2 linked regions of the Bombyx mori genome follow. The protein of the gene in region 2 purifies or fractionates together with the protein of the main gene of each other region. This does not show direct contact. Links are inferred from orthologs where the notes say so. Each region holds a gene or a part of one and is shown on either strand. Other genes may lie near its edges.

Region 1 (7,598 bases), on a different chromosome or scaffold from region 2:
CATGGTAACATAGGTGATGAAAAGGAACAATAGAATATTTAAATACTTACATTTCGCTCCAATCTTGAAATCAATTAGCACTAGAAGCCACACCGGAGGGCAAGAAAATTGCCTCATGTCTCCGCACCGTGTGCGGCCTATCGGGGGTCACCGTAGAGGCCCCCTACAAACGCGGCACTCCCGGGCAGTGCCACCGTTGCCAGTTATATGGCCACTCCGCGCGTAACTGCAACGCGCGACCGCGTTGCGTGAAATGTTTAGACGATCACGCGACCACCGATTGCTCGCGCGTGAAGGAGACAGCGACGGAGCCGCCGAGCTGTGTACTCTGCCGCAAGCAGGGACACACGGCCAACTACCGTGGATGCCCCAAGGCTCCACGGAAGCGCCCGGCAAACGCGCCCCCTAAAACCGCTGGCCCAAAGACTTCGGCGCCCCGCGCGCCGAAACCGGCTTTCGTACCGGCTCCGGTGCCCACCGTCTCCGCGTGGGCGAAACCGTTGCCGTTCACGAAGGCAGGAACGACACCGGCACCCCAACCGCGGTACGCGCCGCAACCTCTACTCGCGCCGCGCCCCGCCCCCGCGCCCGCGCCCGGTCCCGCGCCTCGCCCCGGCCCCGCGCACTCAAACGATTTTACAATTATTCGCGACTACATCGCCGCGATAAACATCGACCGCATGCGTGCGTTCGCCGACGCCATGCGCAGAGCGGTCACGGCCGAAGACCGCCTAAACGCGACGTTCGAGTACATCGACGTCATCGAGTCCGTCCAGCGCACGCTGGTTTGATTACCGGTAATCAATGGCGTGCAACAGTAGGGAAAAACCGCGTTCCATAAAGTTAGCATTTTATAATGCTAACGGACTCGCGCGTCAGCGCGATCAAGTATATGAGTTTCTCCGCGATAATCTCATCGACATCCTTCTGGTGCAGGAGACCTTCCTAAAGCCCTCGCGTCGCGACCCCAAAGTCGCGAATTACGTCATGGTTAGGAATGACAGACTCTCCGCCCGCAAGGGCGGGACTGTCATTTACTATAGGAGGGCCCTGCACTGCGTCCCTCTCGATACTCCCTCGCTCTTACATATCGAGGCGTCAGTGTGCCGCATCGCGCTGACGGGACACCAGCCGATCGTCATCGCATCCGTTTATCTCCCCCCTGACAAACCCCTCCTGAGCAGTGACCTCGAGACACTGTTCGGTATGGGGGACGCGGTCATCCTGGCAGGCGATTTAAATTGCCACCACACTAGGTGGAACTGCCATCGCACGAATGTGAACGGTAGGCGTCTCGACGCGTTCATAGACAACCTCACATTCGAAGTATTCAACCCCCCGACCCCCACGTGCTATCCGTACAACGCCGCGCGTCGTCCGAGCACAATAGATCTGGCACTACTGAGGAACGTAACTCTGCGCTTACGCTCCATCGAGGCAATGTCAGAACTCGACTCAGACCACCGACCTGTCGTCATGCAGCTCGGTCGCCCACTCAACCGCGAACCAGATACGAGGACCATGGTGGATTGGAAGAAGCTGGGCACGTGCTTAGCTGACACCGCTCCACCAATCCTCCCTTGCGGCCCGGATTCAACTCCATCCCCCGAGGATACCGTCGAATCCATAAACATCTTCACTGATCACGTCTCGACGGCGATCATAAGATCCTCGAAACAAGTCGATGTGGAGGACTGCTTCCACCGCATCAGACTTTCCCCCGAACTTAGGGACCTCGTTAGAATTAGAAACGCGGCAATCCGGGCCTACGATCGATATCCCACGGATTCAAACCGGACTCGGATGCGTCGCTTACAGCGGGAGGTCAAATCCCGCTTAAGCGACGCCCGAAACGAAAACTGGGATAGTTATTTAGAAGAACTCGCGCACACTCACCAAGCATACTGGCAACTAGCTAGGACCCTCAAGTCCGAAACTATAGCCACTATGCCGCCTCTCGTACGCCCCTCAGGCCAACCACCGGCTTACGATGACGATGACAAGGCAGAGTTGCTGGCCGATGCACTGCAAGAGCAGTGCACCACCAGCACTCAACACGCGGACCCCGAACACACCGAGTTCGTCGACAGGGAGGTCGAGCGCAGAGCTTCCCTGCCGCCCTCGGACGCGTTACCCCCCATTACCACTTCCGAGGTCAAGGAGGCGATCGATAGCCTACAACCACGGAAAGCTCCCGGCTCCGACGGCATCCGCAACCGCGCGCTTAAATTGTTACCAGCCCAACTGATAACGATGTTGGCCACCATATTAAATGCTGCTATGACGAACTGCATCTTTCCCGCGGCGTGGAAAGAAGCGGACGTTATCGGCATACACAAGCCGGGCAAACCGAAGAACGAAACCGCGAGTTACCGCCCCATCAGTCTCCTCCCGGCGATAGGCAAACTATACGAACGGCTCCTTCGTAAACGCCTCTGGGACTTCGTATCCGCGAACAAAATTCTGATAGACGAGCAGTTTGGATTCCGCGCCAGACACTCGTGCGTCCATCAAGTGCACCGCCTCACGGAGCACATCTTACTAGGGCTGAACAGGCGGAAACCCATTCCGACAGGAGCCCTCTTCTTCGATATAGCGAAGGCGTTCGACAAAGTCTGGCACAACGGTTTGATATACAAACTGTATAACATGGGAGTGCCAGACAGACTCGTGCTCATCATACGAGACTACTTGTCGAACCGTTCGTTCCGATATCGAGTCGAGGGAACGCGTTCCCGGCCCCGTCACGTCACAGCCGGAGTCCCGCAAGGCTCCGCCCTCTCCCCGTTACTATTCAGTTTGTATATCAACGATATACCCCGGTCTCCGGAGACCCATCTGGCGCTCTTCGCCGATGACACCGCCATCTACTACTCGTGTAGGAAGAAGGCGTTGCTTCATCGACGACTTCAGACCGCAGCTACCACCATGGGACAGTGGTTCCGGAAGTGGCGCATCGACATTAACCCCACGAAAAGCACAGCGGTGCTCTTCAAAAGGGGTCGCCCTCCGAACACCACGCTGAGCATCCCTCTCCCGACTAGGCGCGTCAACACCCCCGCCCCCGCCGTTCGCCCAATCACGATGTACGACCAGCCCATACCGTGGGCCCCGAAGGTCAAATATTTAGGCGTCACCCTCGACAGTAGGATGACATTCCGCCCCCACATCAAGACGGTACGCGATCGTGCCGCCTTCATCCTAGGACGTCTCTACCCGATGATATGTAGGCGAAGTAAAATGTCCCTTAGAAATAAGGTGACACTCTACAAAACTTGCATACGCCCCGTCATGACCTATGCAAGTGTAGTGTTCGCTCACGCGGCCCGCATACACTTAAAATCCTTTCAAATTATTCAATCCCGTTTTTGCAGGATAGCCGTCGGAGCCCCGTGGTTCGTCAGGAACGTCGACCTCCATGACGACCTGGACTTAGAGTCCATCAGTAAGTATCTGCAGTCGGCGTCCATGCGCCACTTCGATAAAGCGGCACGACACGAGAACCCTCTCATCGTGGCCGCCGGTAACTACATTCCCGATCCTGCGGACAGAATGGAAAGCAGTCGACGTCGCCCAAAACACGTCATCTCGGATCCTCCTGATCCACTAACGGTGCTTTTAGGTAATTCAAGCACCGGTCACCGTTCTCGTCGAACCCGTCGCTTGCGACGAAGGGCTCGACGAGTAAATTAACTCTCAGACACAGCCCACTGAGTTTCTCGCCGGATCTTCTCAGTGGGTCGCGTTTCCGATCCGGTGGTAGATTCTGCGAAGCACGACTCTTGCTAGGGTTCGTGTTAGCAACATCGTCAGGTTTGAGCCCCGTGAGCTCACCTACTAAAGTTAGGGTTACGCTGAAATAGCCGCTAGGGCTATCAGCTGAGGTAGGAAAAAAAAAAAAAAAAGAAATCAATTCAATTGATATGTTTTTAATTTATTAAATTTTCAATTTTGTGACAGACATGGATTAGATACATTTTTGAATGAACTTCCCAACTGTATCAACCGAGAACTCATAGATAATGCAGCAGTTGATTTTATCCTGAATCTCAATACAAAGAATAATCGGAAGAAACTTTCAAGAGTTCTCTTCAGTGTTGCCAGAACAAGGCTAGATCTGTTGCCATTTTACTCAAGATTTGCTGCGATTTTATATCCAGTACTGCCAGAAGTATGTGTTGACCTGTGTCAAATGTTAAAACAAGACTTTAAGTATCATGTCAGGAAAAAGGATCAAATAAATATTGAATCGAAGGTAAGAAGAATATAATATAATGGTTTTATGTTGACTCTACATAAATATACTCCAAAAAAAGAAGACAGTAAAATATTAAATAAATCTATTATTAAAATTACTTGTACAGCTTAATCTTTCCTTATATTGTTATTACTCAATATTATATTTGACGTTTCTAATATTTTACAGTTTATGTGGTCACGCACGACTAACAGTCATAAAAATAGTTTTAATTATGTCTACAACTTGCTAAAACCGAAGAACTATTATTGTGTTTTTTAAATTTTTATATATAATTTATTTTAGATAAAAGTGGTGCGATTCATTGGGGAACTGGTTAAGTTTAATTTGTATTCGAAAATGGAGGCGCTGTACTGTTTGAAAGTGTTGCTGCATGATTTTAAGCATCACCATATTGAGATGGCTTGCAATCTGCTTGAAACGTGTGGTAGATATTTATACTGTAATCCAGATACACACCAAAGGACTATGATATATTTACAGCAAATGATGCGAAAAAAAGTATGAAAACATAATATGAATATATTTTGTTGAGTTGATATATTATAATTATTATAATTCAATAGATCCTAATTTAATAGTTTAAATAATAAATAAAATAACAGTTTAACAGAATATACGTTAATGGAATATATTGAATTATATTATTAGAAAATGCTCTACTTAAATAATAATTATTTGTGTTCAGACTGTTTCAGCTCTAGATTCGCGATATGTAACACAGATAGAAAACGCATTCTATTACGTTTGCCCTCCCGAAACTCCTGTTCAGCCTAAAGAAGAAGAGCCACCACTTCATCAATTTATCAGAAAAATACTTCATGAAGACTTGCAGAAAAGTAATGAGGAAAAAATTCTTAGACTAATGCGAAAACTGAATTGGGATGACCCAGAGGTATCCGCCATTGCCATACAACATCTCGCAGGAGGTTGGAGGGTAAGAGCAAGTGCCAGAAGGGCTCTGGCCAGACTGACAGCTGAACTGGCAATCTGGCAAGAAGTAGTAGCTCCAGCAGTCGTTGACACAATATTAGAAGAAATAAGGGTAACAATGGAAGACCCACATCCAAGATATAATCAAAGAAGGATAGCTACTGTTCGGTATCTCGGAGAACTCTATAATTATAAATTATTAGATTCTCGAGATGTTTTCACTGTTTTATATTCATTTATAACATTTGGTGTCACCAATGATCACAGCAGTGTATCTGTATTGGACCCATCTGATAATGTTTTTAGAATAAGACTAGTCTGCGCTCTGCTTGAGACTTGTGGTGCATACTTCAACAGTGGTTCGAGCAAAAAAAGATTAGACTATTTTTTGACCTTCTTCCAAAATTACTATTGGTTCAAGTTCTCTGATCCGATATGGACAAAAGACTATCAATTCCCTATTTACGTTAAATATATTTATCAAGAATGCCTGACGACTTTACGCCCTAAGTTGACTTTGTTTACGAGCTGGCAACAGTGTAAGGATGCAATAGATGAACTACGACAGACTTTATATCCGGAGCTAGGAGAGGAAGAGTACGATAATGAGGATCAAGGTGATGATAGTGTGAACGACGGCTTAGACACAATCATGGAAACGGATGATGAAACGGACAATCCGCAATTGCCTGATGAAAGCTCTGATGAAGAACCGATTACCGAAAATAATGTTAATGACGAAAACGAAATGCAAGATGAAATGGCAATTGAGCCACGAAGACCTGCTACTAAACATGTAAGTGGAAATCTTTGATATAGTTTTAAATTATTTTACAAAATCAATGTACCTACTACATATACTCGTATGCATTTCGGTTTTTAGGTAGAAGACGTTGAGTTCGAATCGGCATTCGAGAAAATGGTAACAGAAAATATTGCAGAAAGACAACGGGAGAATAGACCGCAACAACGCGACATTGCTGTCCCGATGACCTGCAGACAGACTACGAAGAAGACGTATGAACAGCTCTTGGTATGAGTTAATATACAATTTGAGTTACTGACGCTTAAGTAAAACTCTGTGAAACACGTCTCAATTTACTTTATGTCTAGTGTAGGAAATTCAAGGTAAAAGGAAACTGTCTCCAGAATTACATCTTTTAGCTGCACTATGTTTATACTGTGTGTTCTACAGAAGATTACATGTCATAACTTTAAAATGTTTTTGATAGCTTATTTTTTGTAACTGGAAATAAAATAAAAATAAAATAGCTTTTTATCTATCCTAAATTATATTTACAATTAATACTTGTAATAGTATTCATTGAATATTTTATTTTCAGCAAGGAAAAGAGGGCGTGGAATTCGTTCTTATGGTTCGTAAAGGAACGAAACCACAATATAAATCGTTCAGTGCTCCACCGGAATTGGCCAGCAATCTACAACAACAAGCTTTAGCTGATAAACAAGAAATGGAACGAGTTAAACGGTATTGAAATTCAGATAATAAGTTATTAAAAAAATAATTTACGCAAGCAACAGAGACGTCGGATAGCCTAAAGATCAATACGGTCGTGGAGCCGACGTATGCTGCTACGGTGTCCCGTGGGAGTAGGAAGATGGGGTTTCAGTTAGTTCAACTCCGATATGACTCGCCTACTGCCCCCAATGAGTAGGCGGAAGTCTGGTGATTCCTTGTGGTCTTAAAAAAAGAAACAGACTTGATTTTAAACATTTAAATTTTTAATTTTAAACAATAAAACGTAAGAATTCGTTATACGGCCTTAAACAATGTTTGTCTTGAAAGAAATTTCTAAACCTTTCAGAAAATAGCAATTAAAAATAACGTCAATGTCATAGATGTAGTGTGTATTTTGTATTTAATTTACTGATTAATTGTATTTTTTAGACTTACTCTAAATATATCGGAAAGACAAGAAGAAGAAGAATATAGCGCAGAGAGCGGTGGTGGATCGGGAGGTATCGGTAATCCTAACAGAGGTCAGCATGTTCGTCAGAAATACCAACATCCCAAAGGGGCACCGGACGCCGATCTCATATTCGGTCCTAAGAAATTTAAATAAATAAAAAACTAATGTATGTAATGTATTGTAATAATATATGTAATAAAAAAAGGGTTTTTTTTCTTTTTCAAATGGAACAAATTTTTTACGCAAAACTGTAAATTTTTTAAGTGTAAATTTAAATTAACGCACTGAAAAATATAAGTCTGGCGGAAACTCTAGGAGCGAACTATTTTGAATAGTTTTTTTGTTAATTTAGTGTGTTCAAAGTGTGCGTGCGTGCAGGCGTGTAATAACGGTGGATTAGTAAGTGTTTAGCATCTATGAAAGTGCAGAATGTGGGAAAATGAAATGAAAGCCTCGTAGCCTTTCGGGTTCTGCCA
Region 2 (8,163 bases):
AGTTGGGTTTTTCAAGTTACGACCATTCGCTTTGTTCCATCGATATGTTAGAATGCTAAGACTTTTTTTTAAATAAGAATTTGGCTCCAACGCCTTTGGCATTGATTCTGCCAATGTCAAAGTATGTACAAAAATGACTGGTGCTTAGAGAGAAAAAAATTTAATAAATACAAAAAAAAAATATGAGTTTTCCATACACAAATCTGTGATTTTAAGAGCAGCACAAACAAATTATGTTAGACTAACTACTTTAAAGATAAATAGTATTAGCAGATAAAAATTTACACAGAATGTTTAGAATGGACTAAAGCTAATAAAGAATTAAATGCCTTTTAAAAGGATATCATAAAGGGATACGATATTGGGGCAGTCAAAAAAATGCTAAGACTTAATGCGTGCGCGTCCCAACATCAAACGAATCTCGCTAAGACGTTAGAGCAGAACACACCATCTCACACATTGTTTGCTGACTGAAATACACAGTACTAGCAACAACTTTCATTACTCCTTATCTCTTCAATATAGAAAATCCTATATAGATGTCAAGTGAAATAGATTAAAATGTGATTTCTTAACTGCCAGTTAGTAGAAATTAATAATATTCGCCGAGTAACTAAGATGCGTTTGGCTTGTACGTTGGTCTTCTCTATCTTCCTGTACGGGGTGGAGACTTGATGTCTCAGGAAAAAGGAACGCAAAAAGATCGAGGCCTTTGAAATGTATTTCTGGAGAAAGCTGCTACGCATTCCTTGGACAGCTATGAGAACCAATGTCTCCATCCTCGAAGAGCTGAAGGTCACCAAGCGCCTGCTGACTATGTGCCAGGAAAGGATCCGGAGTTTCTTTGGGCGCATAATGCGATCCCCATTGCACAGCCTGGAGGAACTCATAATTTTCGGACAAATGGCGGGGAAGCGCGCTAGAGGAAGAGCACCAGCTAGATGGGTGGACCAACTCAAGGAGGTGACTGGAGGCCAGATACAGGGAGCGGTACATATGGCGCAGAACCGGACCGAGTGGAGAAGATTGACATACAGTCACGATCCTCAGCATTGAGGGAACGACCAGAAAGAAAGAAGAAGTAGAAATGAAAACATGAAATCTACGATGTATCCAAAAACAGACAGACATAGCAATTTTATAAAAGATTTCTGCCATTATTTAAAACCTTTCCATGCACACCCTACATCCTATTAATAAATATGGCTTTATTTACATTTGGTTGAGCATGAGATACAAATTAACCCACACAAAATAAGTTCTCTGACTCGTGAGATATATAATAAAATTCTTATCTAAAACAAAAATGGCATTGTGTAGTTATAACAATACAACTTTCCAAGTCATTTTGACGGTCCAACGAACAGATCGGTCAATAGCATATGAGCACGCGTTATTTACAATACACACGAGTGTATTACATTCTGATGTAATGTCTACCTATACGGTTCATTTTATATAACATAATTGTATCAACCTGACTTATAAATGTAAACCTGGCAAATACTTTTACTAACAATATGAGTTACATTACTTATAAATTAATTTCATACCTAGCTCATAACAGCTCAAAGGCATTGAATGGCATTGATACAAAGATCAGAATGACAATAGAAAAGCACTTGCAATATAAACCTGCCCGTCGGCAGCCCCTATGGATTTAGTGTAACAAACTATTGCATATCTTTGTGTCGACATATGGAATTTATCGGCATACAATCTTATTCTAACCTTGCTGCGGTTCGGTCATCATGCTCGTAGAATGTTCCTCTCTTGGGGATATACTGAGGATTGCTCCTATCTTCATCATCATCAACTCTGCGTTCACCTTCCTGTAAAATTTAAGCCTTATAATAATTCTGCTCTACACTTTTTAATAACCTAATACCTTAATTTTTTCTATATAAACATTAACAAAATTGAATATACAAAATATGAATGTAGAAGAGATATTAAATTATACTATGTTTATAATTTTTTTTTGGGTAAAAAGGAAATTGTGTCAAATAGACAACTTGGGATTGTGAGCTACTGTTAATCTCTTCCATTTAATGGATGAATATCAATTATATTAAACTTCAATATGCCTTGAGAGATAAAAATAACTACAACACAGTCATTAAAGTACTTTAGAATTAAAAAGTAAACATTACATATAATCATTTTCTTTATCTATAATAATAACTGGGGATAAGTCACAAAGGGTCATATAGCATTGTTTACAGATACATAGTACCTTGGGTACAAAGGTTTGAAAAATTATGACAATTTAAATGTTCAACCTCAATCCTCAAATACATAAACAGCGTTAATGAGACTGAGTAATGTAGAATACTAAATTGAATTTAGGAAAAATTAAAGGTTTTATTAAAATCTTTAAAACTAATAGATTAAGAAAATTTACTGCTAACAGCATTTGTGTACCAACATTCCGCTTATTTCTAAAGCATTTAATATGTTCCAATTTGAAAGGTATAAAATATGCCAGGATGACATTTCACATTCAATGAGCTCTGGTAACAGCAGATGGGATGTTTGAATATCTATAGATTAAAAAGCATTTAAAAGAACCCCATCACAAACGTTATTTTCATGTTATTAACAAATTCAAATTTCTTTAACCTTGATTCAGTTTAACAAAAACCTGTTTTCTGAATCTGCTGTAATAAATTTGCATTATTTTGAATGAATTAATTTTTATCATTGAAATTAACATTGACATTCAAGCTCTATAGTGTTAATAGTCTCCTCCGAAATTTGTAGTAATTTGTTTATGATCCTTTATATATTTAATAAGGCTGTCTGAATATATATTTTTTGTATTTAAATCTAAGTTTTCATTCTATTTTATTTCGTCTTTTACTTACTTACAGTAATTTACTTTAACATGAGTGAGATAGATGGAAATGTTATTTTAAATATGTAAACTTTGAGGTATGAATTCAATGAACAAGTGAAAGCTGTTTAATATTTTTAAATAAGAACTGGATTTAAATATAAAATTTAAAAACATAATCATGTGCCGTAAACAGTTTGCTATAATTTTAGAATGTTGTCCCTATGACGTAATAGCCATAACATTTATTAAATATAATATTTAGAAAATAACTTCAATGAGATGCAATCCAAAAAGGTTAAAATAAGTGATGAACATGAGGCAAGACACTTCCAATTACTGTTTTTCAAAACCTGTTTTCGTGAATCAATTCCAAAGTCCGATGGTTTAATAAGAAATTATTTTCAAGTTTTAATTTATTTAATCCTTGCAGATTATTAGCAAAATAGTTCTCTGCAAGTCTAATTTTAAAGCTAAGCAATTATTGTATATTTTACCATCGCCAGTACACAATTCCTGCATATAGTAGTATTACAATTTTCATTTTGAGCAGTTTATTTTTTAACAGGATATTATTCATTGATTTTGAAAGTTATTAAACAAAGTAGTTAGTTAGGAAAACTGCTATTTGAAGTCATCTTTTGATCCACTATTTAGACTTTTGGATCATAGGATTTTTAATTTAGCAACTAAATGGTTTTTTTTATTTACTCATTTAACTTTCTATAGTGAATAAACTTAAGTACTTTACAAATCTTCAGTACTTAAAAAACTTACTTTATAATTTTTACCAGTTTGATAAAAGTTTTCTTAAAAATGCATGCACAAAACAATGTTTAAGTTGTATTGGTAGGTGTCCATTGTATTTATATGCATGGTACTTTTTGGTATTTTGTTCACAAGTAACAAAGAAAAAGTACGTAAAATAATGCACCTATAACAAAAGAGACTCCAATTTTGTTTCTCTAATTTTTTATATGATAAAAAAGCTGTCTTCTTAATTAACTTGTCTGGAAAATCGTGAAATTGTTATCTAAATATAATGAATGGTTACCTGTGCCTCTGGATCCCGTTCAGAGTGGTCAGAATCGCTACCCTGCGAGTCATAATCGGACTCGGGCGGCCCTTCCTGTAAACAATCGGCAACCTTCAGGGAATGCATATCGCAAAACAAAACAATGCCTACGAATTACGTGGCGCTCTTGAATTGCAGTCCATGTACAAAGACAACGTTAGAGCGATTGCAGAACTATCATGACCTCAATACAACAAAACGAAATGGGAATTCCGACACGCGAAATCGCCGGAGAAAGTAACACTGTAATACTTTATGCGCCAAAACGAAAGTGCGACCGTCGAGACCACTAGTTAACAACTCACGTTCAACGAGTTATTGTGTTCGATGTCCTGAGAAGCATCTGAATATTCTCCCGAATCGTCGTGCTCCCGTCTTCGTACCACGGACGTCATTTCGGCGTCCTCCCGTGTCACTTGTATAACTTCCAGATTGGCGGCTTAAAATAATACAATTAATTAAAACGAAGCGGCAAACGCGCTCAGTAGTTTACAGTAGCGACGGTAAAACCCCCACTAGTTATTAATTAAAATGCAATAAAAGAACGCCAAAACAAGCACGGGGATCTAGCAGCCATAAAAAATAATTCCATTTCACGTAATCTTAATAATCTTAACTATCCTTGGTTCTAAATCTGGAAATTCTGAAAATTCATAATTTTCTAGTTTTTTCTACCAAATAACAAACAAATTTCTATGAACTTTAAGAGAGATAGAAAATAAAACAGTTAAAGTTTGGGGCTTCTCAAAAGCTTTTTTTTAGAAAAGTCTTGGTTTTTTAATTTTTTACGTGGACTGAAAAATTGTTACAAATTTTAAATGTGGCAATTTATAAACTCATAGATTATACCATTTTGAATGAGCTTGTGCCTACAGTGTACAACTTTTGGATGGAAACGCAAGAAGGTGTTTGGTGTTTTTTGGGACGCTAAAACCATGTGCATAATAATTACATATAACAATGGTGGCCTATTAACGTATAACATCGATGAAAATGCGCACGTATTAGAAAATGAAAATAAGTCTTAATGTGTCTTGTCGAGATCTTGTTGATCAGTGCTTCCTGTCTCATCTCATCTCGCTTCATTCAATTCAGATCAGATCGTACCACTTAAACATACATTTCTTGAAGAAGGTTTTGATCCCTTTGCTTATTAAATGGACGATAAAAATTCATTTAAATACAAGGGACTTTTGGCGGGAACGCGAATAGTGAAGTTGTGTGATTTGTTTTATTTTGTCTATTTAATGTTTCTTCAGGTTTAAATGTGTAATAACGGTGGTTTATTAACTGCTTAGTATCTGTGAAAGTACACAAATGTGAGAAAATGAAACAAAGCCACTGACGTAACTTCTCGGGATCCTCCAAAAAGTCCACTGAAAAAGTCTCAGTATATCATCTCATCTCATTTAATTTCCTAATATCATTTTTCACATATATATAAAAGTTTTAATTCAAATTAAAATAAGACTTCACCTAAAAGTCTTAGTTACCAGGTCATAAAATCCCATAAAAAAACTCATCTAGACGTTTACATTTTTTACCTATAAGTTTTTAGGGTGAATGAAGTTAGCCCCTCAAAAAAAATTTTTTTTCCTGTTTTCTACTTATTTTCTATTAATTCGTTTGTTCATCATTTGTTCTTGATTGTTCACTGTTAATAACTGTTTGTTCCCCATTTATTTATTTTTAAAAAAATATTAAAAATATTTCTAAAAGTTAGCCCCTCGATTGCAATTTTTAATATTTTTTCGTCCTTAATTACTCGTAAATATTCATTTTCGATTGTTCTTATATAAAATACGTTTGTTCTCTTTCGAAATTACTCATTTTTTGTTTAATTAATTGTATTAGTTGAATAAATGTATACAAAATATGTGTACTGCGCATGCCATAAGTGTATAATCTATGGCGCATGCGTCAACTATAATGCCTAAACTTTCTACGCGGTTTTAATCGTGAAAAAAAAAACCATTATAAATCCTGAAGGATCAATTAATTGGTATACAGTTTAATTAAAAAAATTAAAAACAAAATAAATAAAATAATGTGCATTCGCGTAAAGTTAGACCAAATACATTTTTTCCATCCTCCTATATACCTATCGCTATGAAGGTATAAAAAAGATAGGTTTAAGAGTTCACATAGGTAATATAAACAAATAAGTAAATATGTTCATTATTTATCTTTCAAGAGATAATGTAGGTATACATTATAATAACATTTTGACACAGTCGAAATTATATTCCTAACATTAGTAAAATAACATTTTAATATTTTTTTTATAGGTTATGTATTGAAATTGTTGGAAAATTATTTCATGTTTTAGCTGGAAAACTACATGGAGAATTATATGCAATACAAGATAATGAGCTCCATCAAATGAATTCGAATGAAACCAAACTGTTTACCATCCAAATTCGATTGTCGGGCAGATAGAAAACGAAAATTCACTCATAGTGAACCTCGGCCTGCATTTGTGAAACGGCAAAGACTCACTATTATCAAGGAAATTGAAGAGACGACTAAAAATGAGATGTGTCGTATTATTATACCTTTGCCATCTTGTAGTCAAGGTAGGTGTAACTGTCAATAATTAGTTACACTCACAGATCTCCTAATCAAATAACAATATCAGAAAAAATGAGAATAGTTAGTTAGTTAGTGGAAGTAGCCAAAATGGGCAAGTGGATCTCAGTTCCTATTACATAAGGTACTAGGAAGTTTGTGAAAATGAAAATTTATCACAGTGTAATATCACTTACTTACTTTAACAGTGAAGGAAAACATTGTGATGAAACCTGCACACCTAAATGTTCTTAGGATTTTCTTAGGTGTGTAATCCACCAACCAGCACTAGGCCAGCGTGGTGGACTAAGGCCTAAAAACCCTCTCAATGGTAGTGAAGGCCAGTGTCTAGCAAGGGGATATATTATATGGTCTGATGATGATGACTAGGAAGTTAAATACTACTACTACTACTACGACAGTACACATATAATCCTATATATTTACAAACTATACGTTTGTTGGAAATTGCTAACATTATTTCATATTTCCAGATGTCCAGCCACTTGAAAATAGGTGTAGTAATGACAAAGCTATCCAAGTAGCTCCAGCACAGGAACACAAAGGCAAGGCAAGTGTGTATTGCCACATCACCCCTTAATATATCTGAAGCAAGTATAAGTAAACAATCAGAACCAGCAAAAAAAAAACTGTTGTTCCTGAGGACAAATTTGACAGTGATGAGTCAAATGCACCAGCAACAGAAGGATCAACTGTTGACTATGAGTTATCTCTCTATATCTCCACTCCATCAAAGACTTGTGCACTTCAGACTATAGCTCTCAAGAAGACTAAAAAATTGAAAAAATGAATGTGTTAACAACTTTATCTAAAGTGAAAAATAAACAATGTTTATATATTGGTATTCCACAAGAATTATGTTTCATAATAGGCTTGATTGAGAAACATACAAATGTTTCTGAACAAAATATTATATTATGTCTGATGAGAATAACATTAAATAGAACATTCTCTCAATTGGCTGATGATTTCGATTTATCTGTAAGTCAAGCAAGCAATATATTTTTCAACAAACTCCCAGAAATTGCAAATGTAATATCATCCCTTGTTAGACTATAAAAAAAACAATACAATAAATATATATGCAGGAAGGATAATTGATGTCAACTTGGTGGAAAATAGAAAGTTTTTAGATAGTTTGCCACCTACAAAACTCTTTAATTAAATAAGTAATCCTTACTTATAAATAGGAAGTTTTGTAAGTATTTTCACTCTTCATTCAAAAACTACTGAACAGATTTTAATAAGACTTATGCTGGTCTTCTATGGCTAGCAACTCATTATTATTTTGATTCTGTTTTCCACAAATGTGCTAAATATGGGCTTATATATATGAAAAGGAATAAATATTAATGTTATGTAACCTTTGTACCTGTATGTTAAGAATAATTTTTAATAAAACATAATTTAAATTGAAATATTATTTTTATTAAATCACATTCACTTTGTACACATCAATATTTTGTACTCCCTAAAAGGAAAATAGGTATAAAGTTTTTTTTAAATATTTAACATTACATTTTTGTGTAAGATTAGAAAATTGTTATTCTTCCAAAAAGAAACTACATTATCTAACAACTGTGCAACTTACTCGGAATCAAAATCAATACCTACTAATTATAGTGACCTGATTAGTTTTTTCAAAGTTGCTGGATGCTACACA

Evidence for each region.
Region 1: the proteins of protein CASC3 (region 2) and regulator of nonsense transcripts 2 fractionate together in Homo sapiens (co-fractionation; 3 studies listed by BioGRID and IntAct). This does not show direct contact. The link is inferred for Bombyx mori from reciprocal best matches to the Homo sapiens genes CASC3 and UPF2.

The regions. Positions count from the first base shown.
Region 1 is NC_085110.1:14,011,845-14,019,442, reverse strand, and holds the end of regulator of nonsense transcripts 2, read left to right. Parts: intron 1-3,960; coding exon 3,961-4,255; intron 4,256-4,543; coding exon 4,544-4,759; intron 4,760-4,946; coding exon 4,947-5,987; intron 5,988-6,074; coding exon 6,075-6,224; intron 6,225-6,534; coding exon 6,535-6,680; intron 6,681-7,100; coding exon 7,101-7,275; 3' UTR 7,276-7,448; downstream 7,449-7,598. UniProt on the Homo sapiens protein: Involved in nonsense-mediated decay (NMD) of mRNAs containing premature stop codons by associating with the nuclear exon junction complex (EJC).
Region 2 is NC_085126.1:2,194,964-2,203,126, forward strand, and holds the start of protein CASC3, read right to left. Parts: upstream 4,631-8,163; 5' UTR 4,307-4,630; coding exon 4,217-4,306; intron 3,966-4,216; coding exon 3,891-3,965; intron 1,833-3,890; coding exon 1,732-1,832; intron 1-1,731. UniProt on the Homo sapiens protein: Required for pre-mRNA splicing as component of the spliceosome. Core component of the splicing-dependent multiprotein exon junction complex (EJC) deposited at splice junctions on mRNAs.